Ovis aries: one gene and its partners. The protein of the gene in region 4 interacts with the protein of the main gene of each other region in a pairwise test. Links are inferred from orthologs where the notes say so. Each region holds a gene or a part of one and is shown on either strand. Other genes may lie near its edges. The genes, in order: CCND2, cyclin-dependent kinase 4 inhibitor B, CCND3 and CDK6.

Region 1 (7,871 bases), on a different chromosome or scaffold from region 4:
TAAAGTTTTGAAGTGGATGATGGCTCTTAAGGCTTCAAATGTCAAGCTCCCCAGAAACCTGAGCACCCAGGTGGCCCCTGCCTCGATGGTCCTTTCTGCTATTTCTTCAGCCTCTCCAGCTGCACACCCCACCTCCCCACCCAACCCTGACTTCCAGAGGATGCTCTCGCCCGCCCACCCAGGAGGTTGAATTCACAGTAAAATACCGCCAAGGTTGTGGTGGCCCTTTGGTAGGAATTTATTGTATATATCAGTGACTGGATTAATGAGTCTTTTTTTTCATTCTCCTGGAAAAATGATGTACACAAAAAGAAGCTCAAATTTAGGTTTCTTGGCCTAAATTCTTGACAACCAATTAGCTCGTCTGCCGTCGATGCCAAAAAGTACCATTTTCCTCTCTGCTGCCAAGACTTTCCCCTGGACACACAACGCAGAAGACCTCAGGAAATGACACCCAGACACAGCACACCCTTCCACATACAGGTTTTCGCAGTTTTCTGTTACCATGACTAAAGGACCGGAGGGTCACTGGCCACCCCCAGCCCCCCACCCCGTTTTGCGGCTAGAGGGGATTCAGGAGAGGATTAAAGTGCTTGTTCGAGGTCATAGAGAAGAATGCAGCCCAAATCCTGGCACAAGGCTAACCCGGTGTCTGTGGGCCTCTCACCAGCAGCCCACCTACTGAAAAAACCTTGTTTCTTTTCCTCATGGAGGTACTTCAGGGGGAATTATGCTCAAGGGAAACAAGTCAAAAAGAATGCCTTAAAAAAACGTGCAGTCAGAGGGAAAACAGGTCTATCGATAGATCACCGTCAGAGGAACGAGAGGCTGAGAGCAGCCTGCCAGTGCAGCTCGCTCCCACATTCACCCGGGGAAACTGACTCTCTTCCCCCCAGCCACCGGAGCCCCATTCTGCCCACGGCACCCACCGGCTGTGTGGTCTCCCCCAAAGCCCTCCCCTCCCTGGTCTTAGCTTCCTCATTGGTAGAATTGGAGGACCCCTCTAGAGCTCAACTTCTGGGATAAAGAGACTAGGAACAGACACGTGTGTCTGCAGAAATACAAATTAGCTTGGCAGACCCTCAAAAAACTTGGGGTGCTCTAAAAGATCTGAGCTCCCCATCATGATGAAACAGTGATGCAAAAGGAAGATTATTTTTCCTGGTCTTCCTTGGGGAAAACAAATAATAACTGGATCTTAATTCTACCCATTTGTTTGTCTTTACTGGCTTTAATGTCGGCCTTTGCTTTTTTCCGGAGGTTGGGGGTAAAAACACAGATAGCCTTCTAAACAATCAGGGTCTTCCAAGACGGCTTGAAATTCCAGCTCTCCTTCTCACCGGAGAATGTGAGTATAAACCACTCGACTTGTACCATTATTAAAGGAAGCAGATCTCCCAGAAGAAAGCACCTTTCTGGGCCTCTCCGACCAAACCAGAAGCAGCTGAAATCTGGCAGCTGTTCAAAGGTGAGGTCATTCATGCCCCTCTGCATTCTCGGAGATTCCTCCCCGTCCTTGCACATGTCTGCCGCTAGGTGGCAGCACAGCCTCAGGGAGGACGGCCTCTCACAAAGAACTCAGTTCAGGCAGCCAGTCCAGGCCCTCTGGACTTCGGCGCAGGCCTGGCCAGCAGCGAGGGAGGGTGGAGGTGGGGGGGGCGCTCTTCCAAAAGAGTTGGGAGATGGGTGTGCAGATCACTGAAGGTGGGCCTCTGGGGCTACTCAGCCAATGCCACACTACGGCTACATGGACGTCTTAAAGGTGAAGCTGCAGAGGCAAAGGGTCCTTCCTACTGGGTGGGGAAAAGGTTTGCTGGCAGAAAACCAGAGCCCAGACAAGATCCCCATGTCTGTACAGAGGTTACAGCCCCACCAAAGACGGGAATCCATGCCTCCGAATCCTCCCACAAAGGGCCAAACTTGACTCTGCTCAAAAGCCAGTGAGTTGGTGTTTAGTGAACAGCTGCTATGTCCAGGTATGCCAGAGAGACTGAGAGATTCCCTAGACGCTACCTTTGAACTCCTAGTTCTTAGGAGACACGTCACAACGCGTCTGGATCATGTTGAGGTTGACGACTGTCTCAGAAGTCAGTGATTGAAAACTGGGAATTTGATTAAAATATTATCACTGTGTTCTATACCTCCACTACACACACACACACACACACACACACTCTCTCTCTCTCTCTCTCTCTCTCTCTCTCTCTCTCTTTCTGCAAATGAGTGTCACCAACCCAAAACTCTGTGAAGGAGAATCTTATGCATGGGCGGAGCCTGAGTGCTTTGTATATACAGTCCAGCACACAGTAGGAACACAAGGAGTCTCAATAGGAAAAGTCAGAGTTCCCCAAAGGGTGGACATTTCACAGATGGGTAATTTGGGGTCCTAAGAGTTTGTTCTGGGAGCGGTGGGTCAAGGCGGATTAGGCCAGGGCAGAGCAGAAAGGCAGGCAGGCAGGAAGGAGGCAGGCATTACCAGCAGCTCCTGAGGCTTGATGGAGTTGTCGGTGTAAATGCACAACTTCTCAGCGGTCAGCGGGATGGTCTCTTTGAGCTTGGACGCCAGGAACATGCACACGGCCCCCAGCAGCTGCAGATGGGTCTTCGGAGTTGGGACTCCGGCCAAGAAGCGGTCCAGGTAATTGATGGCGAGAGGAAAGACCTCCTCTTCGCACTTCTGCTCCTCACAGACCTACGACATGAGTGGGAAGGGGTCGGGGTAGGGGGAGACCATCATATCAGGAAAGGAGGAAGAAAGGGAAATCGCACAATCCAGGGAAATGACAAAAATGTTGAATTTGGGGGGAGGGGAGGGGAGTAGAATAAGCGATAAGAATGAAGACGAGGAAACTGGGGGCAATTTACATGGCCATCCGCGCGGGGGTCCTCCCCGGGAACTTAAAATCTCAAAGGAGAGGGGGCTTAAGGACCCCGAAGCCGAGGGCGCAGCAGCGCCGGCCCCGCCGCCCCCGTGGGCCGCTCACTACTCCGGGCGCTCGCACTCACTCACTCTCTTTTTTGGATTTCGTCATCTTTTCAAAAAATCAATAAAAATATTCTGGAGGCTCCAGGGGTCTCGTTCTTGGTCTCATTCGGATCCCCAGACCCTGCTCTATCATTCCCGACAATTGAAAAAATTGTCTGGAGGGGTCCCCGCGGCCCAGGCGCCGCATTTGGGGGGGTGGGTGGGGAGAGGTGGGGAAGCGGGGGGAGGGCGGAGGGAGCGAGCGCCGCGCAGCCTGGGCGGCCGGAGTCGGAGCAGGGGAGACGGGTTCAAAAAATAATTAAAAATCGAGGAAATATCCCAGAAAAGCCCTTTCGCCGTGAAAACCCCGCAGAGGACCCAGGCTTCCCGCAGCGGAGGTTTGAGGCGCCGGGAAGGTCTGGAGCGCGACCCCTGGGGCTTCGGATCCCGAGGGGAAACTTGCAGGGGAGAGCGCGGCGGCGGGAGTGTCCGGCCGCGGCCCACAAGGGCAGAGGCCGGGGACGGTGGCGAAGAGCTGGGGGACGCTCGTGGACGGGGAGCCGCCGGGGAGAGGCGCGGGGGGCTCCGGCCTCTCCTTCGGGGGGGCCCCGCTATCCCCCCTGCACACACCTCCTCCCCCTCCCACCCCACCCAGATCTCCGCACCCAGGAAACTGAAGGCCGAACCGTAAGTAACCTTCACGAGGGGGCGGGGTGGGTGATGGGGGAGAGAGGGCGCCATCAGAAGTGGGGGGACCGGGGTCGTGGGGTGCGAGGGGGAGCAGGCGACGCGTCCAGCCGCTCCACCCCCGAGTTTACAAAGCAACATGGCGAAACCACGGCAGGTCCGGAGCCGTGCAGACGTGGGCACACGGCAAGGGTTCGGAGCAAGGGGAAAGAAGTGCTTCTTCTGGGTTCCCCGAAAACACACGTTTCTTCAGTGTGACTTCCGGGGCTCCTGAATTCCCCATTTCTCTTCTCCCTCCGCCCTCTCCCTCCCCCCTTAAGTGCCAACGCGGAGTCCCGACCACATGCGGGGACCCGAGGCTAGGACCCATTTGCTCTGGCCTTTGCGGGGGAAGGGGGTGCAGCTGACTTTTTAACTTCGGGGTTCACCCTCCCATTCTCTTCTTCAAGGCACCGCAAGCAGCCTCGGCTTAGCAAAAGGTCGCGGCGGGGGTGGGTGCCGGTGGGAAGAGGTGGCAGCCGCATGCAGGCACACGCGCTCGGGATGCTCCCCCACCCCCAGCCCTGGGACAACCTCGCTGCTCTCCCCCTCCCCCCGCCCCGGGAATCTTGCACCCCCCGCAAGGAACCGAGAGGAAGCCACGCGTCTGGCCGAGGGCGCGGGGGTAAGCTCTGGCGCAGGAGTGGGGGGGCGGGCTCCCGAGGCTGCCCTCGCCCAGGTTCCGGGACCGGCGCGGGCGCCGACGGAGCGCCTGCCTGCAGCCCTACCTCCAGCATCCAGGTGGCCACCATCCTGCGCATGTAGGGCTGAATGTCCTTCTGCACGCACTTGAAGTAGGAGCACTGGGGCAGGTAGCGCTCCTCGATGGTCAGCAAGTTCTGCAACACGCGGTCGTCGTGGAGCAGGTTGGCGTCCGGCACGGCCCTGCGGACCGGCTCCACCTCGCCGCACAGCAGCTCCATGGCCAGCTGGCTACTCGCTCGTGCCCCTGCGATCTCCGGACTGGAAAAGTTGGGGGTTTTTTGGGAGGGGGGAGGGGAGAGGATTCCCCGTACCTCCTTCCTTTGGCTAAATAAGGGTTTTTTTAGAGGGGTAGAGTTAAAGGCAGAGAGAGAGAGAGAGAAGCCGGGGAGGAAGAGTGGAAAGGGAAGGATGGGCGGTGGGAGAGGAGCGCCCCGGGGGCGGCTGACTCTCTCTGCCCTCCCCTTCAAACTTGTCTGCTCTCCCCAGCTCGCTCGGCTCTCTGCTCGCTGAGGCAGTGACGCAAACTGGCTGGGCAGTTACTTCTCCTCCCTCTCGCCTCACCCCCCTCTCCGGTTCCTCCTCCCCTTCCCTCCCCTCCCGGCCCTCCCCTCCTCCTTTCAGTCTCTCCCTCCTTTCCCCTCTTGTTATTAAGGAGAACAGCAGCTGGCCCGACCAAACTTCAAACGCGGTCCCCCGCGCCGCCCCCCACCCTCTCCCTTAGCTCTCCGAGGCCCTCTCCCTCCACCAAGCCAGGGGCCCAGGAGAGGGGAACCCACCAAAAAAACCACAAAACCCCACCGATCCCTACTTATTCCCTGTAATTGCAGCCCATTCTGTAGGTGCATCCCGCCAAAAATACGACCCTCCGACTCTGGTTTCCTCAAACATGATCGCTACACTCCAGCCCACGAATTTAAGATCCAGGAATGACGGGTGGGTGAGCTGAAGATGAGGTGGGCTCAAACGACTGAGAAATAAGATCCCTTATATGAGCCCGAAGGAGGGTGATTTTGGAAAACAGTTAACTTTGCATACCCAGAGGGAAAGGGTATGTATGGCCCTGAAATGTACGTTCTTAATCATTTTCAGCCTGTTTCCGAAACCCGATTATAGGGACCAAAATACACCCCCCCACTCCGCCCCATGCCACCGCCCCACCCCCCCCACCACGCAGATGTGTGGGGAAAGGAAGAAGGCGGAGGGGTTGGTGTCCGGAGGGAGGGGGCGCTTCTTCGACGTGGGAGAATGTGACCTAGGAGCAGAAACCCTCCCGTTCTTGGGGCGCCGCAGGCGCCACTGGGAGACGCGGGGAGGCGCCCCGAGCCGCCGCAGGCCGGGGGCAGGGCTACCAGCGGTTCCGCCGCGGCCAGCGGCCACGCAGGAAAAACCCGCTTCCTCGCCCTGCATCTGCTGACAAGCCGCCCGAGGTGTCTGCGCCGAGCGTGGCCACACTGATACAGCTTTCTAGGAAATAGCCCGGGGCGGGGGGGGGGGCCGGGAGGGGGGCGAGAAAGGGGGGTAGATTGGGCTCCCTGTCTCTCCCCCAGCGCCAACGACACCACTCCTTCGTTTCCTCCGAGGCCCAAGATCTCCCACCCCGGGTCCCTCGCCGGCACACTCGCGGACCCTCCGGGTTCACGCCTCCATCGCAGCCAGGGCTTTCTCCTCGAGAACTGGACTGCGGTGGAGACGCGGTCGGCTCCGACACGTGCTCCGACGCATCCTCCGGTCAAAGCAGCTTTGGGAGGGGATCCGGGGGCGTTTCCTCACCTCCTTCCTCCCGCCACCCCCCTCCCACCCTGCCCTCTGTGCTATTTCACTCCGAGGGGGAAAGGAGCGGGCCCTGCGTCCCGGGTGCTGGCCGAGCTGGCACGTGCGGCGAGCGCCGCGTGGGTCGGGGCTCTCGCGACACCCCGAGGTCAGCCCAGCACCTCCCTCGCGGAGCAAGGAGGGTCTCAGAACCGGGGCACGGAGGGCGAGCGTGGTCGGGCGGGTGCGGGATGGGTGAACCGGGCGAGCGGTTCCCTGAAAGGAGGGGGAGGTGAAAGGGAACGCGGGGAGCGCGCAGAAAACCAGAGGTGCGAGCGATTAACTCCGGCCCCGGGCCCAGCCCCTTTCCACGAGGGTGGGGCGGAAGGGGTGGGTGGGTGGGTGGGTGGGTGGAGGGGGCTATCGCTTTAAAAGGGTGAGTAAGAGTTTGGGGCGCCGTCTCCCCTCCCTCTATTTGCATAGCCAATAGCTCTGGGTCTCCTGCTACTGCGCGCTGATTGTTACCGGGCAGATTACTTTTTTTTTTTTTTTTTAGTAGGACGCGTTCCCCGCTACATCAAAAGGAAGCCAAGGAAGGGAGGGCGGAGGGAGAGCGGGGATGGGGCGGGCGGGGGCTGGTGAGAGGCCGGGGCGCCCGCGACCTTATCAATAGCCGCAGGAATTAGGATCCTATCGACTGTACGTAAAGAAAGGGGAGGGAAGGGGGCGGGCGAGGAGAATGTCTAATTACGGTGGAAGCCATTAGCTTTCGGGAAGAAAAAAAAAACCTCGCTGAAAAACCCAAGTTGCAAACTCAAAATGAAACAGCCCCGCGCGGCGGGTGACACCCGGGGCCCAGGAGCGTGTTCCTCGGAAAAGATCGGGTCCCTAACAATCGCCTATTGATTTCAGTCAACGTGGACTTCCCGACTCAGGCCTTGAATCACTCCGGATAAATACGTTAACTTACATTTTAAGACCCCATAAAAGACCTACTCAAACTTCAGTTCAGCCACCTTTGAGCGGATCAAAGAAAGCCTGCAGGAGTTGAGGGTGGAGTGGGCTGGGGGCAGTGGGGGCGAGAGAGGTATTTTTAAAGTATAAATCTGCCCCGACAGGCAAGGACAGAAGCCGGCCAGGGCCCCCAGCCTCTTGACATCACTTGATAACTAACGCAGCACGGTCTTTTCTCCACCTCCCTGCAAAGAAAGCATCCTGAGCTCGGGGTCCCCTGAAGAGGGGCAGCGGGGGGCGGAGGGGGGGTGGGGAAGAGGCGGGTGGTCGTCCTCCGGGCCTCGCCCACCCTGGGGAGAAAGCCTGGGTGGCAGGGCCTCAAGTCTCCGGAGCGAGCCGAGGGGCCCCCTCGCCCCTTCCCTCCCCCCAACCCCAAACCCGTCTGGCTTTACTGAGAAATTCCGGCGGGGAGCGGGGCCGGGGGCGGAGGGGAGGCGGTCGTGAAGGGGAGGGGCGCAGGCGGGTGCCCCTCTCCCAGCCGCCCTCTCCGTCCACCCCGATCCGCCAGTGCGGGCGCTCCCCGCGCGGCAGGCTCGCTCCTTCCAGTTCCCCGTTGACTTCCCCTTCTGATCACCGACTCTATCCGAACTGCAACCTCGCGGCGAATCCATCCCCCAGTGGTTCGGGCTCCGAGGCTCGGGGTGGGGCGTGCGAGGGTGCGGAGGTTGGCAGGAATGTCTCCGGGAGGCTTGGACTGGAAACTGAGTTTTCC
Region 2 (5,956 bases), on a different chromosome or scaffold from region 4:
AGATGGTGATTGCAGCCATGAAATTAAAAGACGCTTGCTCCTTGGAAGAAAAGCTGTGACCAGCCTAGACAGTGTATTAAAAAGCAGAGAAATTACTTTGCTGACAAAGGTCCATCTAGTCCAAGTTATGGTTTTTTTCAGTAGTCATGTATGGATGTGAGAGTTGGACTATAAAGAAAGCTGAGCGCCTAAGAATTGATGCTTTTGAACTGTGGTGTTGGAGAAGACTCTTGAGTGTCCCTTGGACTGCAAAGAGATCCAACTAGTCAATCCTAAAGGAAATCAGTCCTGAATATTCATTGGAAGGATTGATGCTGAAGCTCCAATACTTTGGCCACCTGATGTGAAGAACTGACTTATTTGAAAAGACCCTGACGCTGGGAAAGATTAAAGGCAGGAGGGGAAGGGGACAGAGGATGAGATACTTGAATGGCATCCTTGACTCAATGGACAGGAGTTTGAGCAAGCTGTGGGAGTTGGTGATGGACAGGGAACCCTGGCGTGCTGCAGTCCATGATGTCGAAAACAGTGGGACAGGACTGAATGACTGGACTGAACTATACCTATTCAGGTGATACTAAGCTCTTCTCTGACCAGCTGCTTCCTACTATCACCTAACACTTAGGGACCTAAAACTTCAAACAAATGAGAAAGTGCAGACCTTTAGAAACGGGTTTGTAAAATCCGTGACAGCTATTTACAGTTATTCATCTTCTAATGACATTTCTACATATTTTAGCATTCTCATGCTTCACACTTTCTTTTTCCTTCCAAAATCCCCATTCTTTTTTCTTGGTTTTAACTCCTATTACCAACTCCTTTTAGGTCAGAATCACTTGTTATAAGTGTACTTAAAAAACATCATTCCTTTCAGAGCATTTAGTTGGTAAATTCCTACTTCAGCATTATTTTAATAAATTTATTGGATTTACCTGCTTATCTCACTTAAAGAACTGGGTTCTTTTGGTGGCTCTGCGTGACATGAGATAAATGCAAAATGTGACAACAAAAAATCAGGTAAGATGGAGTAAGAAAGAGCTTAAAATTAAACTACATATTTATTTTACAAAGCATCTTTTTTTTTGTGCTAGTTCCCACAAACTTGTCTCTAACTTTTCAATTAACTGGTAGAGGTGGTACTTATAAAAATCCCCCATTCCCCAGGGCTCCAGAATTTAAAAACTATTGACTATTACATATTAACACACAAGTAATTTGTTTTTTAACATTTCCCATAAAGGAAGGGCAATATAGAATCTCAATGTGATTGGTGTAAGTTAAATAAGTTTTATTTGCTGAAGGTCAGCAAATAAATTTCTTCTGTCTCTTCCCTTATATAGCTTTTCTTGGCTCAGACAGACCATGGCAAAATCATTACTAATAAAACATAAGACTCTATTACAGTCATGTATATGACAAACTTATAAAGGGATAAAATGTTAGTGCTGATTAGGAGCTTAAAAATAATCTAGTACCACTCCCATTTTTTATAGATGAGGAAATTGGGGCTAGTCATGTCATTTAATTTAGTAGATCATATATTGAATTAGTTGAAGAACCAATATCAGAATCCAGGTCTCCTATCTAATTTCTCTTTCCTTCATTCCCTCTTTCTTCCCTGGAATTTTAAATAGAACAGGAAAAGATGTTGAAAGTATTGTGATTCAACTCTTGTTGCTTCTTCAAGTAATTTAAAAAAATAAAATATTATTTTCTTATGTATTTACCCTCCCATCTTTTTAAACTTGGTAATTGAATGCAATGAAATTACACCAACCTAGGTTTTCACAAGATAATGAAATAGTTTGTTAATAGTGAAAACCTAGTACTCATATCAGATTTTGGTTATGATTAGCTGCTGATGTAAATACTGAAGCAGTCTTCTTATATTGTAGATGACACTCGCTTTTCCATTTGTTTCAGAAAGTAGTCCACAAGTGTGTTTCTAAGGTTTTAGAATCACTAATTCTAATTGCTTTTTTTTTTTTTTTGGTAGAGTGGCAACATCTTGAACATTGGAAAAGAAAAATAAGCATGTGTTGGTTTTTTTTAAATAACTGATAATTACAGAGGTGGTAAAAAAAAATCCCTATTGACTATTACATATTAACACACAAGTAATTTGTTTTTTAACATCTCCCATAAAGGAAGGGCAATATAGAATCTCAATGTGATTGGTGTAAGTTAAATAAGTTTTATTTGTTTGCTGAAGGTCAGTTACCTAGCTTTATAAAATGAACTTATTTGGTCCTGGACACCATATTCATGTTGTTTTTGTCATAACACAGAAATAAAATATCATTAAGGCATTCCTATGAACACACTTTCCCAAAACTGTTAGGAGCTGTATGGATCTTGAGCTCTCAGAATTTATTTCATTCCTTATATTTGAAGTCACTAATTTTAGCCATTAGAACATAGGAAATTTTAAACAGATTTTGCTTTCAGAGTAAAGCATCCTCGTTTTCTCATCCATTCACTCGGCTGAAAAAAGAAATAAAAAATGAGGCCAAATGAATATGTTATTGAATTATAAATTTATTTTACTTCCAGATCTTGCAGTGAAGGTCAGGTGATAAGACTTTACAAACCTTGGTAATATTTTAGATTTAGATACAGAAATTAGCATATATATTTTTCTGTAATTGTAAAATGGAGCCAGAAGCAGGGCTCATGTATATAGAGCTATATTTATTTGCATGTATCCTTCAAAGTAAAATCTTAAACAGAGTCAACATATGTATTTCTTGTGCAGCTGATAAAACACATTGGCCATCCTTACTTACCAGGTGGATTTGAAATCTGAATTTATTTTTACATGCATCATAAATATTTCAGTTGCAACCTGGTGGTACTTGATTTTCCAATAATGTATGATGTTTTGGCACATATATATATGTGTGTATATATATATATATATATATATATATATATATATATATATATGCATCTCACAGTACCCTGTAGTACCCAACCATATTTTCTTGATTTACTTTCCATTAATATAAGGTTGTCACCAGATTCCACAACTCCCTTAAATTAGGAATGGAATTCACATGTTTTAAGCCAAAACCTTGGTGTCCAATCTCAACTTTTCTTTTTACCATTAAAACAGTGAAATGTCAGTTATTCCAATGCTGTAATGAATCAAGCAACACTGGAAATGAAATCCCCAAACAGTACACCTTTAGTTTGTTCAACAGATATTAAGACATTTCACGAACCATCATTATGTATTTTCGACAGCTTCACACTCAGTACTCTTTCAGCAACCCTTTGGGAAATACCCTGAGATCATTTACTGGGTAAGGGCATGGATCTTCTAAGAAAAACATTTGTAATATTTCATAGTTTGACCCTGGAGACACTCCAGTAAAGGAAACAAACTTTAACAAAGAAATAAATAGGTTAAAGACTGAAGTAATCTGGGAGATGGCACTGTGCCACAGCTTCGCATAAAAGCTGTAGTTCTTCACTTCCTTCCCAAGAGCTGCGAGTTACTTTGTTATTTAAAGTCTCCGAATTAAGACTGCTACTGAAGAACAACCCAGAAGTACAAAATATCACGAAGTCATTTCAAGTGGCAATTTACAGGGGGCTCTCTGAATCCTACCGTATAGAGATCAAACAAATCTTTACAGTTAACAGTCTTCCTACAGTCGCTCTCGCTACAGCCCGGACTTCAGTCTGTGCGAGGAGGGAACACCGCAGGAATCTCGTCGTAACAACAGCAAATGAGCGCCCCTTTCGGAGAGCTGTTCAGCATCACCTCGACCTGGGGACTTTAGAAAAAGCTGGCAAATTGAGGTGACTTCCGGGTCCTCTCTCACCCATCGCTCTCTGATGGGGCTGGGCAAGAGGTCGCAAGGCTTCCAGTGGGTAGCTTTTTGCTCGCGACCTGCCCGCTCCTCAAGCCTGTAAAGAAAGCGTTGGTCGCCTACTGAGCCCGTGTCGACCTTCGTCCTCGTCATTGCGTGGTCCTTCATCTCCAGATTTTCCCTCAGGGCCCCACGCCCGACGTGGGGACTTGCAGGGGAGGTCCTTCACGGTCAGTGGGGCGATCGTTATCATCTGCCTCCCACCTGAAGGCTAGTTGCCGCCGCCTCCCACTCCGCCCCAGCACCTCGTGTGTGAAGATTCACAGCACTTGGGTTTGTTCATGGACTTGTTCACAGGCCGCTTTTCACCAGAACACCCTGAAAAACAAACCTGGGAGTTCCACACTCGGCTCCTACTGGAAATCCATGTGCCGCACCTCTATTCATTTTATCACGGTGAGTGCCGAGGGGCGGTATCCGGGGGGGTGGGGAGAAAAAAGTATTCCCAGTCAGCTCCTCCTTCGCTGCCGGGAATCCAGTCGCCCTGGAAGACTTCCGCTGCTCCACGTTTGCAGCCCTCTTTGAACTAAGTTGGGGTGGCGAACTGGAGAGAAAGTCGTTGTGGGCGGTTGTGTACGCGCACCCTCAATCTCCCGCGGCCGCGCGCAGGTACCGGGCGACGTCGCGGTGGCCCCGCTCCTCGGCCAGGTCCACGGGCAGGCGGCCCCAGGCATCGCGCACATCCAGCCGCCCCCCGGCTCGGTGCAGGGCCACCAGCGTGTCCAGGAAGCCCTCCCGGGCGGCGTCGTGCACCGGCCGGGTGAGGGTGGCGGGGTCCGCGCAGTTGGGGTCCGCGCCGTGGAGCAGCAGCAGCTCGGCCACGCGGGCGCTGCCCATCATCATCACCTGCCAGAGAGAGCAGAGTGGTCAGGACGCAGGGGCAAGTAGAGTCTTTTCCAAAAAAAAAAAAAAAAAAACCCTATTCATCCAGGCCCTTACAAGCCTCGGAAGTCTGCTGCTGCTAAGTCACTTCCGTCGTGTCCGACTCTGTGCGACCCCATAGACAGCAGCCCACCAGGCTCCGCCGCCCCTGGGATTCTCCAGGCAAGAACACTGGAGTGGGCTGCCATTTTCTTCTCCAGTTTATACTCTACTCAGACCTAATTCGTACAGTTTTATTCTCCGAACGTGGGAAGACAAGGAAGAGCTGATAACAAAGTGCTTATTGCTGTTGTCGGAAATTTTTTAAAAAATTTCCGTTGAAACAGGGGAACTATGTTGTTAAATGATGTATGAGCATAGTTAAGTTTAAAGACTTAAAGTCTTAAATTTATTTCGCTTGCTCTCCCCTCTCCCCCAGCCATAGTCCCCATCTAAAAAATTTACTAGGCAGTCAGCTGATATATTTATTTTAGGCGTTAGAGTAATGCTTTAGGAGAGAAAATAAGAAACAACTACGTTTAAAACAAGGTTTACTTTGTTTATTTCTTGGAGTAAATCCCCTGTGGGAAGGCTTTTGCTTTTCTCTGTTATATGTCTTTGCTCATAAAGTGCGTATATATGGTCCCATAATTTGAGCCACAGTGGGAGATAGAGGGGGGAAAAGTAAAGTCGTGCATAGTTTTATAAGACGATGAAAACAAACTATTTGTTTTCAATCAATGATTCACCACTTTTAATATTTAACATTATAGATAAGGGCTAAAGTTTAGAGGATATTTGATGTAACATAAAATAGATACTATATTTGCATTGTACAGGATTTTATAATGTGCTAGTATTTTATATTGTTAAATAGTAAACATTTTGCTATCTAAAAAGGATCTTAGATTTTAGCAGTCAAATCAGAGCAATGCATAACTTAGAAAAACAATGTTTTGAAGCAGTAATCCTACAGTATCCATTTGTGTACATGTGCATTATGCCGGCATTTACTTTCTTATTTTAACAATTTTTGATAATTAAATATTCAAAATGAAATTTTATTTTCTTGTGAGTTTATGCTTTAAAATGTACCATGGAATCAAAATATAGTATGCTAATTTTTTCATTGTTCCATGGTTATTGAAAACATCCATCTCCTCCCTTAAAAACCATGATATATTTTCTATTAGTGATGTAAAGGGCATTTCATATAT
Region 3 (6,864 bases), on a different chromosome or scaffold from region 4:
TCCCTGCCTCCCTTCCCCACTAGTGCGGCCATGCTGAAAATTGCAGAGATGGAGTACAGTGGGGCCAACAGCATCTTCCTGCGGCTGCTGCTGGACAAGAAGTACGCGCTGCCCTACCGAGTGCTGGACGCCCTGGTCTTCCACTTCCTGGGCTTCCGGACAGAGAAGCGCGAGCTGCCTGTGCTCTGGCACCAGTGCCTCCTGACTTTGGTCCAGCGCTACAAGGCCGACCTGGCCACGGAGCAGAAGGAGGCCCTCCTGGAACTGCTCCGGCTGCAGCCCCACCCCCAGCTGTCCCCAGAAATCAGGCGTGAGTTGCAGAGTGCCATCCCCCGAGATGTAGAAGATGTTCCTGTCACCATGGAGTGAGGACGCAGCACTCGTCCGGGTCTGCGGAGCGTGGAAGGACTCCAGGATCCCTGATGGTGACTGGAGGTGATTCCGAGCCTTGACAGCTGAAGACCCGGATCAGGGCCAAGACAGGTCGCTGGCCTCTGACTCCCCAGTTCTCAACAGGGGGACCTGAGTAGGGCTGGTTCCCTCTTGCGTTCTAGGCCTGCATCCCTGCTCAGTTCTGAGACCGGACTTGAGGTCCCACAGCCCAGCACTCCCGGGTCCCAGCTAGGGTTGGAATGGGTACTTCCTCTCAGGCTGGTGTCAGGTCACCGGGAGGTGGATAAAGACAAAAGGCAGGTATTTATTGAACCTCAGTGTTTTGATGTGATGGATGGAGATCTTTGCTATCCTTGTTTCGCTGGAAGCAAGCACTGCTTCGCTGGAGGCGGGCACTGCTTTCCCCTCATGCGTAGCAGTGGATTCTTACCTATTTACATGGGAGCCACGTATTTCCCCCACCTTATTCTTCTTCTCTAGGCTGTACCCACCCTGCCAGCCCCTAGAGGGCACAGCCTTTGCCTTCCCCTGACACAAGCTACTTGGGGAGAATACCAGCAACCAGGAGGTTGTTCAAACACGAGAAGGTCTCAGATTGGTTGCAAGAGCTAGAAGAAAGCACCTAGAGGAAGGTGGAAATTCAGGATGAGAAAGGTCAGACCCAGGGTCACCACCAGACCAGTTCCCTTTCTAACTTTCTTAGCCAATGAAAGCGTTCAACCAGGGGTTGGCAAATCAGGGTTGTGTATGCCTGTTTTCTTACAGTCCATGAGAGAAAAATGATTTTTTACATTTTAAATGGTTGGTGGGGGAGGCAGAGAAAAAACAGCAGTATTTTGTGATAGGTGAAGATTATATGAAATTTAAGTTTCAGTGTCCCTAAAATAAAGTTTTATTGGGACACAGCCACATCCATCCACTTCCATGTCCTGTGACTACTTTCACTGCCCCTACAGCAGAGACCAGTGCAGCCTGGCTAGAACCCTGTTACTTGCTTTTGCAAATATGAGTTTGTTCCAACCTAATGACTCTATTCGGTCATAAAGCAAATTTCATTTATATAGTTCTGTCTTGAGACACTAGATGAAAGCAAAAAACTACCCCCACAGAGCCAAGCCAGATGACACAAAACGCACATGCCCAGCCCTGTGCCAACGCCCCCAGCTCACCTTCTGGGTTGGCACCACACCCACATCTGGTGTCACAACGTGCCTTCCACATCCTTCCGACCTCTGCTTCCACAGCCAACTTCAGGTGTTTGTTTTTCAAGATAAAGGGCCATATTTATTACAGTATGTTTCTTAGCCATTTAATGTGTAAAAACACCATCTTAAAAAAAAAAGTGTCCTTCATTAAGTATTTGAGTATTGTGCTTCAGGCCCCGTTTTCCCCCATAAGCCATGTGGCCTTAATTGTGCAGTTTTGCAGTGCAGTGCTTTTTAGAAATGTGCACATCAGGTTCTACAGCAGACCTTCGGATAACACAGGCAGAAGCCACATGGCCCACAAAGCCTGAAGTGTCTGCTCTGGCCCAAGACAGAAAAGGTGGGACGACTCCTGCTCCAGACATTGATTTCTGCCTTCTTTTACCCCATGCAGTCTAGAAATAGGCTTTCCCACAGACTGCCCTCTAATCCAAGAAGCCAAAGTCAGTTTTATTCTAGAAACTTTATTATAAAGGTAGCATGATGGTCCTCAGCCACCAGCCTGGACCTTGTGGCCTCAGGAAAGACCTGTGTTAACAGGGCCTGCCTCCCTCTCTGGACAGGGGGCTTGGTCATCACCAGGTCATCCCCTGCTTCATTCCACAACACCCCCTGCTCCTGGAGGATGGGGCAGAGGGCCAAAGGGAGAGGAGGGTATGGCCCCACTCCAGGCATAGCAGCTCCTTGGCCACAAAGATCCTCTAGCAAGTAGCAGAGGGGAGGAATACAGCAACCACCAGGGTTACCACCCCTGTGGCGGGGGGAGAAGGGCCCCACCACACCCTCATACAGTTGTACTCAAAGTAATTAATAAATTAAAACAACTTCCTTCTGCACTGACACCCCCCTCCCCCCAATCACACAGGAGAAGCTGAGCAGAAAGCAAAGCAAGGAGGTTGGTTCCTGCCCCTGGACGGTGGCCGGGGCCCCTCCTAGGAGTAGCTAGGATTATGCCGGGCCTCCACGTGCTTGGAGAGGGATGTCCACTCTTGCCCCTAATGTGTAACTAGAACATCCGAGGCTTCTTCAGAAAGATCCCAATCCAAATGCAGTAATTAGGGAATCCCCTGGCGGTCCAGTGGTTAGGACTCCGAGCTTTCTCTGCCAGGGGCTCGGGTTCAGTTTTGGCAGTTGAGAGCCCCAGAGATAAGGGAGCCCCTAGAAAGGAATGCTGGTACATGTATTACACCTCAATGTCACTGGCTGGATGCAGGCAGGAGGAGGAGCCGGACTGGCCCCCAGCCGTGGCCGGCCAGGCCCCTTAGTGCACGCTGCAGGGTTAGGTAGGACCTGACCCCCCTGGCTGGCGAGGGGCAAGGGGAAGGAGCCCCCTCAGGCTTCAGCTGTGGCATGATTCCGTTCCTGCAGCCAGGGAGGGACAAGGTCCCCTCCTGCTGTCAGCAGCCACTCGAGGGGGCCTCTCCAGGGCTACAGGTGGATGGCCGTGACGTCTGTGGGAGTGCTGGTCTGGCTGGGCCCCTGGCTGCTGGAGACCCTGGGGGCTTTGGGCGCTGGGCTGGGAGAGGTCTGGGCGGCTTCCCTGAGGCTCTCCCTGAGGGCAGCTTCAATCTGCTCCTGACAGGCCCGCAGGCAGTCCTGGGGACAAGGGGGAGTGGTGAGGAAGGTCCGCTTCCCACCCCGCTTCCCGTCCTCCACCAGCATCTGGCAGCAGGTACAGGAGGACACCTCCCAACACAGGGAAGTCTGGGGAGGTTAGGCCACAGCCCAACCCCAGGAATCAGCCTTCAGTTCTCAGAAACTGGCAAGAGGATGTGGCAAGAGGGTGTGAGAGGGCCTGACATCTGACACCGAACCCCCCACCCCCACTCCTGCATACTGCTCGGCAAGGAAAGGGTACCCAGGGGCAGTGCCTTTCGGCCCACCCGCAGCACTTGCTCTTCTCCAGACCAAGGCAGGAGATAAAAGACCACAGAAGCCACAAAGGTGGGGCACTTGAAACCTGGAGTGGAGACCAGGTTGGGGGTGGTCCATAGCACCCTCTGCTGGAAGCTCAGGGGAAAGTGCTACCTCGTGAGCTGAGGCCATTTGCCCAGCTGCCCAGCACTCACCACTTCAGTGCCTGTGATCCCTGCCAGCAGCTCTGTGAGCTCGTCCCCAGACGTGGAGCAGGCACCCAGGCCTTGCACTGCAGCTCCGATGCTGCCTGTGGCAATCATGGATGGTGGGTACATGGCAAAAGTGTAGTCTAGGAAAGAGAAAAGGGACCATGAGACAAGGGTGAATACCAGCATGCACCTTTTATTTCCCAGGAAGTGCCAGGCTGTATGAATAGAGCACGGGTATACTGGGACACCCCAGCAGTGCGTGGTATAAGAACAGCTGGGGAGAGGGTCAGGGTAGTAAGTGATCCAGGCCAGGAACCAGAGAGTGAATGGGTCTCTTCCTGGTATGGACACAAAATTAAGGTTAAGAGACCTGGGTTCTTGGCCTGGCTTAGTCACTGAGACAGCCTGGGCAAGTCACTTCTCTCTAAGTCCTTGGTGTCCCCAGCTACATACTCAGGTGGGAGGTGGGGGTGGGGGGCTGCAGCATCTCTGAGATCCCAAACAGCTCTGCTGCTTTCTTGTGTTGATACTGGGGGCTCAGAGGATAGAATTTTCACAAATTTTGAAGTTATAAACCGAACCTCCTAGTTCTCTCTCACCTTTCCAAGTCTTCTGATTTCCCTGGCTTGGCACATGTGTGTGTGGGACTCTTACCTGTAGCACAGAGGGCCAAAAAGGTCTGGGCGTGCTTCTTGACCAAGGCTTGTCGGTCGCGGGGCAGAGAGAGCCGGTGCAGAATCAGGGCCAGGAAATCGTGGGCAATCACTGCGGCCAGGTCCCACTTGAGCTTCCCCAAGACCAGCACCTCCCAATCCTGGAGGCAGAGGAAGAGGGCGGGGTCAGTGGCTGAAGAAGGGAAGGGGAGGAAGTAAAGTGGAAGTCTCACAGGGAACGAAGCACATCACACTTGAAGGTCAAGACTCCAGGTCTGCTTTTGAACTTCAGGACTGGCACTGTGGAATGGGGAGTCCAGGGCAGGGAACAGCTAGGGGCACTTGCTTTGAGCATCTATTGATCAACTTCCTAGATGCCAGAACTACATGCTTTACATAAACTGCCTCTTTTAATCCTGCTGGGTTATCTTTTGGGGGTCCAACTGTCCAGGCCTTCTCTCAACTTCCTGCAAGGCTCTGAGCAGGCCTCCAGTCATAGCTGAAAGAAAAGTCTGCAGACCACCATCACCAGGAACTAGAGGCTCTTCTGGTGTGAAGCAGAAAGACTCTCCATAATCTCAAGGATTTGCGAAAGGGGAGATTACTAGCCTCTCCCCCAACTCAGCATGCCCACCAAGTCCACACCTCTTGAAGAAACTGGGGTTAGCGTGAGGCCCTTCCTCCTCTGACACAGCCCCTGAGCCAACCCCAAGGTTCCTCAAAGTGGAGGTTGCCCAACCCAACCCACATCCCCTTGGGGGGACACTGGGGTGGGGGGCTGAAATAGAGCACCCCACTCCACCTCTCTGGCTGAAACCCAGTGCTTAGTGTCTTTGAGTCTCAGGGGGAGAAGTGGAGGTCAAGGCAGACAGGATGGGTCCAGGTGATGATCCCTGAGGGACCAAACCATCTCTCCATCAGTCCCAGCCTCCCTACTACTGCTGGGTCCTGGAAGGAGACTGGGAGCCCCACCCAGTCCACTCCTCTGAGGTTCCCAGCCCTGGCCCTATTTCTGAGTTGCACACAGGAGGATTTCTTCATTGTCTTATCTCAGGAAGGAACTCACGGGTTTGACCCTTCATGGGGTAGAAATGGCAACCCCACCCAATCTCTTTTCGGCCCTCTGTCACAGCTGCCCCTCTCCTGGCCCCCACCTAGGTGTCATGATCTTCAGCCTCTCACAAAGCCTCACAGAAATCAGCCTGGCCTGGAGCCAGAAGAAGTTGAGCAGAGAATTTAGCATTCTACTCCCTGTGCTTATTCCAGGGGTCAAACTCCTAACTCAGAAGTCAACAAAAAGCATCCAGGATCCAAGGAAACATCTGGAAGGCAGCTCGGAGTGGGGACGCATAGGGTCCTGCGTTGGGGGAAGGTGGCCACCTTACCCTCCATCTGGGCAGAGTATCTCCTGAGAATCTCAGTCCTCACATGACAGAGAACACACCCCTAGCAGCTTCCATCAAAACCCTAACCTCTGAGGCCACCTGAGGCCTCAAACACACCCTCCGTGCAGCACCAAGCCAGGACCCTTCCTTCCTCCTCTGGGCCCCCACCTTCTTTGCGGCACAAGGATTATTTGGACTGACCGGAGCTCTCTGATGTCCCTTCCAACTCTGACCTTCTAGGAAGTCATCGATCGGCACGCTCCACCCCCAGCTCAGGCAGGGGGAGTGGGAGGAGAGGACTTTTGGCCTGTTCTGAAAAACTGCCCTCACATAAAGGCACACATCCCATGCTCATCTTTTCACAAAAATGAAGTCCCCTTCCACCAGCCCAAACTCCTTCAGAAACATCTTGCTCTCTAGCCCTGGAAACCAGCTCCACCTTCAGACTTGCCCCAAACTACCAGATTCATCACAAAGAGCTGTGGAGCCTCCCAGATTCCCAGCTCTGGCCTCCTACTCCCATATCCGAGAGCTACTTGGCAGGAAGAGGAATCCCGTTCCCCGACAAGCAGCACTCAGGGGCCCCAGTACCCTGGCTTTCCTGGCCAGCCAATCACAGCAGCCAGCACGCTGCCCTCCTCCCCGGGAGATGGGGCCCAGAGACGCCTCTCGGGTCAAGAGAAGACTCGACTGCTGTAGAGCAAGATGGAGGAAGGTGCCAGCTCACCCCTCTCCCCTGGGTCCCCCGAGAGATGATCTGCACGCTCCCAAATAACCTCTTCCAAATCCAAGCAACTCCCCACCTCCTCTCCAGGCTCAATGGGGAAAGAGAACCATGACTCCCCTGCCCTGCCTCGGGAAGAGCCCAGCCCAAGTTCCCAGCAAGAGGCCCAGGGAGCCACTTCCCAAACCACAGGAGTGACAGCAGCTCCCCACAGGGTTATGAAAGACCTTGGTCAGGGTGGGTGGGCCAGGGGAGAGGGCATCATTATCACATCGGAAGCAGCTGCAGTTCAGCCCCAGTCTGTGCCTCAGCACTTGCCTTTGGCTAAAGGGGAAAAGATGATTCCACCAGGCCTGAAGCAGCTGCTTCTGAGAGCAATTTCTCAGGGTGAGACTAGGGAATGGAGAATGAGGGAAGGAGCTGGTTCTCCTGGGATAT
Region 4 (7,768 bases):
TGCTTCATCTGAACAATCTATCTGAAACACAGGTACACCTTTTAGCTCAACCACAGGCAGCTATGACGACACAACTGTTAGGCCATTCTTGTGCAGAATACAAGTATTCTCTTGGAAAAGAAATGTAGGAAGTCACCGAATAGGACAGGACACCGAATAGGACAGGAAAAGTAAATGGAGGTATTTCAGTGTGACCATCACCATCTTTTTAAGTGTATTTCCATAGTTACTTTTCTGATCGCTCAGAATTCTAATGTAGTTGATGAAAGAATCTTAAGAACATGTTTCAAACGAGTCACAACAGTATGCCAGGAACATAAAGGTATTCACACTCATACACAAAGGGAACAGAATAGGAGTGTCTATCAAAAGGGAAAAATGGAAAAGATGATGACAATTATATGGATATGAACATAGTGCTGACATGTTGCATGGGGATAATTGTAATTTCATTCCATGAAAATGTAATGTTTTCAATAGATAATATTATTTGGCTTTTCTCCTTAAATTTTATAAGCTACTAATTCATTTGTTTGCCTCATGGCAGTGTCAAAACCGTTTCAAGTTCCACTGCTCAAATGCAGTGCACTAGATCATATGCAACAGCAGAAAGAGAAAAATCCAGATCATTTCCAAATTGATGGGAACCAATTTATTTAGAAGGCTGAACTTAAAAAAAATAAAGTCCCAAAATTTACAATTGAAAAATTTGGTGGTACAGTTGACTTCTTCCAAGATATTTAGCAGATTTTCAATATTATATTTTAAAGGCCAACCCTCCAAAAAAACACCAGCTTAGAAATGCCTGAGGGAGGGGAGAAAATGCATTCAAATGCACTGAATTATATTATGCCTTTTCTGTTGAAATAACAGGTTTTTTTGTGGTAATTACTTAATAAAGGTAATGTTCATATACACATATAAGTCAAATTAAAATTGAGGGTAACTAATTTCAAAGTTATTAAACCAGAGAAGTTTTTTTTTTTTAATCAAGATGATAAACAGAACTTTGTAGACAAAAAGTATAAATTTACATGACCTCTAATTAAACTTATTGTTATAGTAGATTCTAATAAAACTTTATTTCTGAGTTTCTGGAAAATGTACTTTATAAACTCAAATGGCTAATATAAATCAGAGATCATTTAGAATTAGATGTACATTATACAATTACTAATTTTAAACACATTTCTCATTTCTTAAACAGTGTTATTAAAGTATAGACCAGAATTAAAATTTTCATTTTTATTTTAGGAAAAAAAAAACAAAAACTTAACAGATATTTGGTATAAAATGGTCACACAGAGAATGTATCCCTTACGTGACACTCAGAAAACTTTTAGGGTAAGCTGCAACAGCGTATCTGGAAATTCATGAATTCCAATTTTTAAAAAACTAAGGTGATTTGCAACTTTAGAATATCTGAGATGCAGTGTGAAAATACTGGTACAAATAATTATTCTGGAATGATGTACTCATTCATGGAGGACTCCTAAACAAAGGAGTCAGAATTTTGTTCACAGTTTATAAACTTGGCACAAATTTTGTTGATAACCTGTTACCCACAAAGGAAGGTATCCATAAACAAAAACAATCTGGTATTTACTAATTTTATACAATCCATTGTAAAACTTCCTGATATGAAGCTTTAACCAACGTGGAGTTTGAATGAACCATAACCAAGCAGAGTGAATATGACAAATTAACAGTATCAGAGAAAGCAGATGACATAAAGAGAGGTAAGTAACACTCAGTATTAATCTATGTCATTAAATAAGTTTCATTGTTTTTGACATTGCTCAAGTAATCTAGTAAGCTAAATCATGGGGTTTCTAATTCATCTATGGTTGTTATCCAATTCAGTAATGAAAAACGCAACTCAGTGTAGAAAAGATATTTTTCTGTTAATTTAAAAGATATTTACAGCTTAGTATTTTTAAACAAATTATTTACTCAAATTCTTACAGTCATTTGCTGGTTCCTATGACTATTTATTGACAATTATTTCTGAGTTACATAAATGTGTTAATTACCAACAAATAAATCTTGTTTTAAAAAGCATTGATAGTGTAAGTAATTATCAAAATGGAGGATTCCCATTTGTGTCTCTGGTTTAAAGTCTAATTAGTGATTTGTAGTGATCCAGTATTTTATAGAAATACAAATTCCAACACTTTGTTTTCTTAAGTTTGTAAGGTATATGAGATTATAGCTAATCTTTACTAATATAAATTTTGTTCAGAAATTGGCTTTTAATTTAGAAGATATGCTTCTAAACACAAAAAATGTATTTTATGAACTATCTTAAGCATAAAACACACACTTTATTTTTTAAGAATAAATTATTATAATACCTTGCAAAATATTTGCTAATGAAAATGCAACAATTTTTATTTACCTAACCTGTTACTTCACATTATACTATAGAATCAATTTTATAAAGCAAAATTTTGATCTACTGTGAAATTAGCAAAATAGTTTAATTCAAAATGTCAACAGATTTATAGTGGTAGTATTTTTCATTCAAACAGAATTTTTCTGGGTTTTAATTTTTACACAGAGTCCTGAAATAAATAACATTTTTTTTAGGGTTTGCATTAAGATATTTCAAAGGGTTTCAAGTATTTTACAGATAGAGATTTTGGATAATATTGAATTCTTTCCAAAAAAATAGTCATTTTAAGTTTTGTTTTACTTCATTGTAAAAGTCTAGAAGACTTTTCTTTTCCTCCAAAATCTAATTTTCACCTGAAATATTGAGGTTTTCTCAGCAGGTAAAGTATACATTCTTACAAAGTTTCAAATTTCAGAAGTCCAGTAATGCATTTAAAGTAAGCACCCATCGAATCGTGTTCTCTCTTCTTTGTGTGTGTGTGCGTGTGTCTATTATCTTGCTGTTCTGTTACTTAAAGTCAATTTTAGGCTTTTTACCTCCACAGAAATACCTTAGTGAACCCTCGGCAGTTACTAATCACTTAATAACTGTGAGCCGGCCAGCCCCTTCAAGTAGATCGTTAACCACAAGAGTGCCAGACAATTTCCAAATCATATCCTCCGTCCAAAAGGAAAAGATAGGGCTTTGTGAGGCCGAAAGGAAGCGAAGGAAAACAAAACAAATGTAGCTCATGCTGAAAGTGAAAAGTGCTTGGACAGATTAGTATTTTCTTTTCTGCAAGGCGTCCTGCCAATTTTTTTAAATAAAGTTATTTTTTGATCTGACTTTTCAGTTTCTTGAAAAGTGTTAGTATTTACCATCCCCACCGGCCCCTCATGACTATTATCGGTCGTTTTGTGTTTTCCCCATCTGTCTACATCACTGACTGCTGAAACCCCCCGCCTGCCTCACTCTGTCAAAAACCCCAACTCTGGGCGACCCTCGGTTTGGTAACTCAGCCGACTGCCGACCACACATCCCACTCTCCCTCTCACGCCTCCTATTTTAGTCACCCCACTCCAGTTGCAGCGAAAGCCGGAAATTTTCATTTAGCTCCCCCCTCTTTCTCGCCCCCCACTCGGAGCGGAGAGCCGGGGAGCCGGAGGCTCAGAGCACAGCCGGGGCTCGGCCGCCTCCCCTCTCTCCGGAAGGCTTTAATTTGCACACTCGCTGGCCACTGAGCGGCGAGCCCCCCACCCGGCCGCCGGGAGGGTCGCGGGCCGCCGGCCTCCAGGGCCCCCCACCCCGCCCCCGCCGCCTCCCCGGCTCGGGCCCCGAGCCCGGGCCGGAGCCCCGCGGCCTCCGTCCGCCCCCAGCGCGCCGCGCGGGCGGCGCCCTCCGCCGTCCCTCCGCCCTCCGCCGCAGTGCCCACCCCCTCGCCCGAGCGAGCGCCGCTAACTCCTTCCTCGAGCCGGTTTACCTGCTCCGCGCCGCGGCGGACACGTGCGAAGGTCGACCGGTCCCCGCAGCCCCCTCGCGAGGCCCGCCGCGGCCGGGCCCCTCAGGTGAGGCGCTGTGCGCTCTGGTGGGTGGGCGGCAGGGTGCAGGGTGGGGGGGTGGTCCTTGGGGAAGACTTGGGGGCTTGGCCCGGGGTCGGCGGCTAGGGTGGGTGGGGGTGACTGGGGCGGGGAGGGGGGGCGGTAGGTTCTGGGAATCGGCTTTGGTTAACCCCTTACGATCCGAGGAGGGGTGGTTACAGGGGCCAGTTTCGGGGGAGCTACAGGAGTTTCTCCTAATCTGACTAGAGGGAAACATCCCACACGAGGGACTCCCCCCAACGCCGAGCTCCTGTGCCTGCTCGCACACAGCCTTGCGCACAAACACCCACACAAACACTTCTTATCCAGTCCTTCAAACGGAACTCAGGCTCCACTGGGAAACTCACCGAGAAATTTACATTCAGGGTTTAAAATGCACTGCTTTGGGGAACCTCACGCGGGAGAGAATGTGTTTCGGTGCCTTGTATTTATTTCCCCACGAAAGCTCCCCCTCCATCTCGCCGAGGTGTGGGTGTGAGCTCCACCTTCCCCACCGCGAGATAAATGTTAACGCAGACTTCTTGCTGGCAGCCCCCGCGGGCGTGTTCTGCACTTAAGAGAGGAGTACACGCCGGCGGCCAGTGCCCAGGCTGGAAGTCCCCCCGCAAGGATGGACGCTTGCTTTAGTTTCCTAGTTTACTTTCCTAATTTAAAATATCGTTAAAACGCACGCCCCCGGGGTGAACACCTCCTGGCCCGAGCCCCGCGCCCGTCAGTGTGCACGTGGGCGCATCTGCGTGTGTGTACACGCGGGAGTCGTGGTCCCCCGGGGCGGCCTCTGGTCGCCGCGGTGGTGGCGACCCTTGCGGTGCTTGGCAGGCTTCGGGAGAGGCACATGAAGGATTTCATTGAGTGTGAAGACAGAGAGCAGAGACAGAAAGCAGAAGGAGGCGGCTGCAGCCTTTGTAGTCGCGGAGGAATGCGGAAATGTTGAAGCACTCTGTCAAACTTTTTTGAAATGGGGTCAAGTCACATTCAGCCAGCGTGGGAAAGCAACAACAACAACAAAAAAAGTGGACGGGGCGGGGGACGGGGGGAGGCACGGCTGCTCCCGTTTCTCTCCGCCGGAGCCGACAGTCCGGGGAGCGAGGGGGGAGAGCCGGGGCGGGCGGTGCGGGGCCCGGCGGGGGCGGCGGGCGCAGCTCCCTGCGGGGGTGGGACGTCCCCGCCGCTTCCTTCGCCGCCGGGCGGCGGGCAGGACTGGGGCTGGGAGGGGGCCTGCGGGAGGGGGCGGGCGGCGCCGCTCGCCGCGGCTCCTCCGCTACCTGTGTGGCCCTCGGCCTGGCTCCGACCGCTGGTTCCTTGGCTCAGGGGGCTCGTTCCTCGGCCCCCTTACCCAGGACTGGCCTTCACCTTTTAAGGAGAATTTTGAATGGAGAGAGTGTGAGGGGCCCGGTGCTCTCCGCGGTCCCCTCCGCCCGCAGACCGCAAGGGTCGCGCAGTCTGTATCTTTAATTCCTGGCGGAAGGCGAGCGAGCCAGAGGTTGCGGGGCAGGTAATTCCGAGGAGCTCCGGGGAATTTCGGACAAGCAGTCGGAGCGGCGAATGTCCGGCGGAGGCCACAGCGTTGGTGGAGCAGAGGTCCCCTGGGTCCTGGATTGCAGCTTGAATGGGAAAGAAGAGTGCGACCCCCCCCCCCCTTCGCCGCTTTGTTGTGTGTGTGGGGTGAGCTCCGGGGGTCACTGGCTGCTATTCGGATCCGACCTTAAACTGGAAGGGGAGTGGAGCAACCTCTGCTACCTACTTCGGGAACAACCCTGGGAGTGGGGAAAGGTTCTCGAGTCCTGGCCCCGGGGGCGCAACCCCTTTTCGCTTTCCCCTGGAGGCTCAGCCTTTACTCCCCCCACCCCTCACCCTATTTAAGGGGAAGCTGAGTTTTGCTCAGGTTGCAATCGGTTGAAAAATTCAAGGCAAGTGACGATTATGCCGCTTTGCTTCTGAAGTTGTTCTCCAAGGAGACGACAAGCTGAAGTGCGGCGAGCACCTCTTTATCCCATTCTTAGGGTTCCGTAGGCGACTTCACCCGCCCCCTCGCCCCCGCCGCCACACCGCGGGGGGAGGCATCGCTCACCCACTCCGGAGTAGCGGGAGCTCCCGCCCTCTCGGATCTGATGGGTTTCCACCAGGGAGGTCTTCCCAAGTAAGAGGAAGGATTCCGTTTCCAACCCAGACTCTTTTACCTTAAAAAGACCATTTGTGTGTCGTTTTTAAATGTCTCCTCGTAGAAAAACTGAAAGTAGAAAGAAAGGAAGCAATTTCCGAGCAGATGTCTGACCACCCCTTCTCGCACACTCGCAGCATCGGGTTACAAAGGTCCTGGGAGCCCCCACCCACATTCTGCGGCCGCACTCAGGCGGACCCGAGGTCTGTCCACACCAGGCTGCGCACGACCCCAGAACGCCCCCACGGCACCCATGGAGCCCCTGTCCCCTGACGTCCAGGCCCGGCAGGCAGGGAGCGGAGCAGCGCAACACAATGATACAGGGAAATATTAAGCCGTGACATTGACGTGCCCGGCGCCTCCCCTCCCCCGCGCTCCCGGCACACTCTGGGCTGCTTGGCACGCCCCCTCTCGTTCCACCGCGTCCAGCGCCCCGCGCTCATCCCCGAGGGGCCCCTGCAACCTCTCCGGGCGAAGACGGCTCTAGCTCTGCAGGGAAAGAAAAGTAACTTCGTTTTTCTCGGAGAAACCAGGAAGGAAGCGGCCTGGGAGGGCAGGAGCTCGCAGAGGGTAGCGATGGGGGCTGCGTAAAGGAGGAGGAGGGGTCCCTGTAGGAACCCCGGAGAAGGCGCCTGGGATGTCTGATTACACTTTCTTCTTGTCCTCCCGTCTCCTCTTTTAGGTGGAATGACCGTGGACTGAGACGCGCTCGGGCTGAGACAGACTATGTAATCGCCTCGGTGTCTGCAGAGGACTGCGCTTCTGGGAGGGAAGAGGAGGGATCGGCTCGCTCCTCGGCGACTCAGCAGGCGGAGTTTCGCAGCGGCGGCTCCAGGGTTGCGCCCGCCCGCGGGGAGGTCGCTCCATCCAGCCCCGGCGGCCGCGAGAGTCCGAGCGCCCGAGCGTGGTAGTCGGCGGGGGGTGAGAGAGTGAGCGAGACCGAGCTCCGGGGCGCGAGGGAGCCGGCCGGGGAGTCCGGGAGGAGGCGAGCGGCGGCCACCAGCGAGCCGAGCGCGCCCCCCGCCCGCCCCAGCGGCACCGCGCCGGGCGGCATGGAGAAGGACGGCCTGAGCCGTGCTGACCAGCAGTATGAGTGCGTGGCGGAGATCGGGGAGGGCGCCTACGGGAAGGTGTTCAAGGCCCGGGACCTGAAGAACGGAGGCCGTTTCGTGGCGCTGAAGCGTGTGAGAGTGCAGACTGGCGAGGAGGGCATGCCGCTCTCCACCATCCGCGAGGTGGCGGTGCTGAGGCACCTGGAGACCTTCGAGCACCCCAACGTGGTCAGGTGAGCGGTGCATCGGCGCCCGTGCCGTCGGGGGCCGTGTGCTGGGGGAGGGCCTGGTATCCCCGGCCCCACGGAGATGCTGCGTGTGCGGGAGGGTGGGGGGACGGCGGGGGAGGCATGGCGCCATCCGTCGACCTTACGGAGTGAGAGTGAGTTTTGTCGACAGAGCCACGAGCCAGAGCTAGTGATCTTGCCAGACAGCGAGCAAAAAGACCAGTCAGAAAATATGACCTGCGCAGCCTTCCTCGCCGCTGTGCCAGTTCTAAGTGTTTTTCTCCCGGTTCGTCCTGAAAGGGGTCCTGAAAGATGGGTGTCTTTTAGGGGATAGAACAGGGCAATCTCGGACAGGC

Evidence for each region.
Region 1: the proteins of CDK6 (region 4) and CCND2 interact in a two-hybrid assay, tested with the Homo sapiens proteins (2 studies listed by BioGRID, with this or other methods). The link is inferred for Ovis aries from reciprocal best matches to the Homo sapiens genes CDK6 and CCND2.
Region 2: the proteins of CDK6 (region 4) and cyclin-dependent kinase 4 inhibitor B interact in binary tests that used the Homo sapiens proteins (3 or more experiments, as listed by UniProt). The link is inferred for Ovis aries from reciprocal best matches to the Homo sapiens genes CDK6 and CDKN2B.
Region 3: the proteins of CDK6 (region 4) and CCND3 interact in binary tests that used the Homo sapiens proteins (3 or more experiments, as listed by UniProt). The link is inferred for Ovis aries from reciprocal best matches to the Homo sapiens genes CDK6 and CCND3.

The regions. Positions count from the first base shown.
Region 1 is NC_056056.1:211,616,482-211,624,352, forward strand, and holds the start of CCND2 (G1/S-specific cyclin-D2), read right to left. Parts: upstream 4,615-7,871; coding exon 4,420-4,614; intron 3,653-4,419; exon of another isoform or gene 3,217-3,652; intron 2,693-3,216; coding exon 2,477-2,692; intron 1-2,476. UniProt on the Homo sapiens protein: Regulatory component of the cyclin D2-CDK4 (DC) complex that phosphorylates and inhibits members of the retinoblastoma (RB) protein family including RB1 and regulates the cell-cycle during G(1)/S transition.
Region 2 is NC_056055.1:90,784,328-90,790,283, forward strand, and holds the end of cyclin-dependent kinase 4 inhibitor B, read right to left. Parts: intron 4,725-5,956; coding exon 4,464-4,724; 3' UTR 2,523-4,463; downstream 1-2,522. UniProt on the Homo sapiens protein: Interacts strongly with CDK4 and CDK6. Potent inhibitor. Potential effector of TGF-beta induced cell cycle arrest.
Region 3 is NC_056073.1:15,731,107-15,737,970, forward strand, and holds the end of CCND3 (G1/S-specific cyclin-D3), read right to left. Parts: intron 4,479-6,864; coding exon 4,319-4,478; intron 3,805-4,318; coding exon 3,668-3,804; intron 3,195-3,667; coding exon 3,027-3,194; downstream 1-3,026. Other genes in the region: BYSL (bystin), read left to right, coding at 24-369. UniProt on the Homo sapiens protein: Regulatory component of the cyclin D3-CDK4 (DC) complex that phosphorylates and inhibits members of the retinoblastoma (RB) protein family including RB1 and regulates the cell-cycle during G(1)/S transition.
Region 4 is NC_056057.1:10,941,573-10,949,340, reverse strand, and holds the start of CDK6 (cyclin-dependent kinase 6), read left to right. Parts: upstream 1-3,797; 5' UTR 3,798-3,939; intron 3,940-6,546; exon of another isoform or gene 6,547-6,703; intron 6,704-6,815; 5' UTR 6,816-7,185; coding exon 7,186-7,418; intron 7,419-7,768. UniProt on the Homo sapiens protein: Serine/threonine-protein kinase involved in the control of the cell cycle and differentiation; promotes G1/S transition. Phosphorylates pRB/RB1 and NPM1.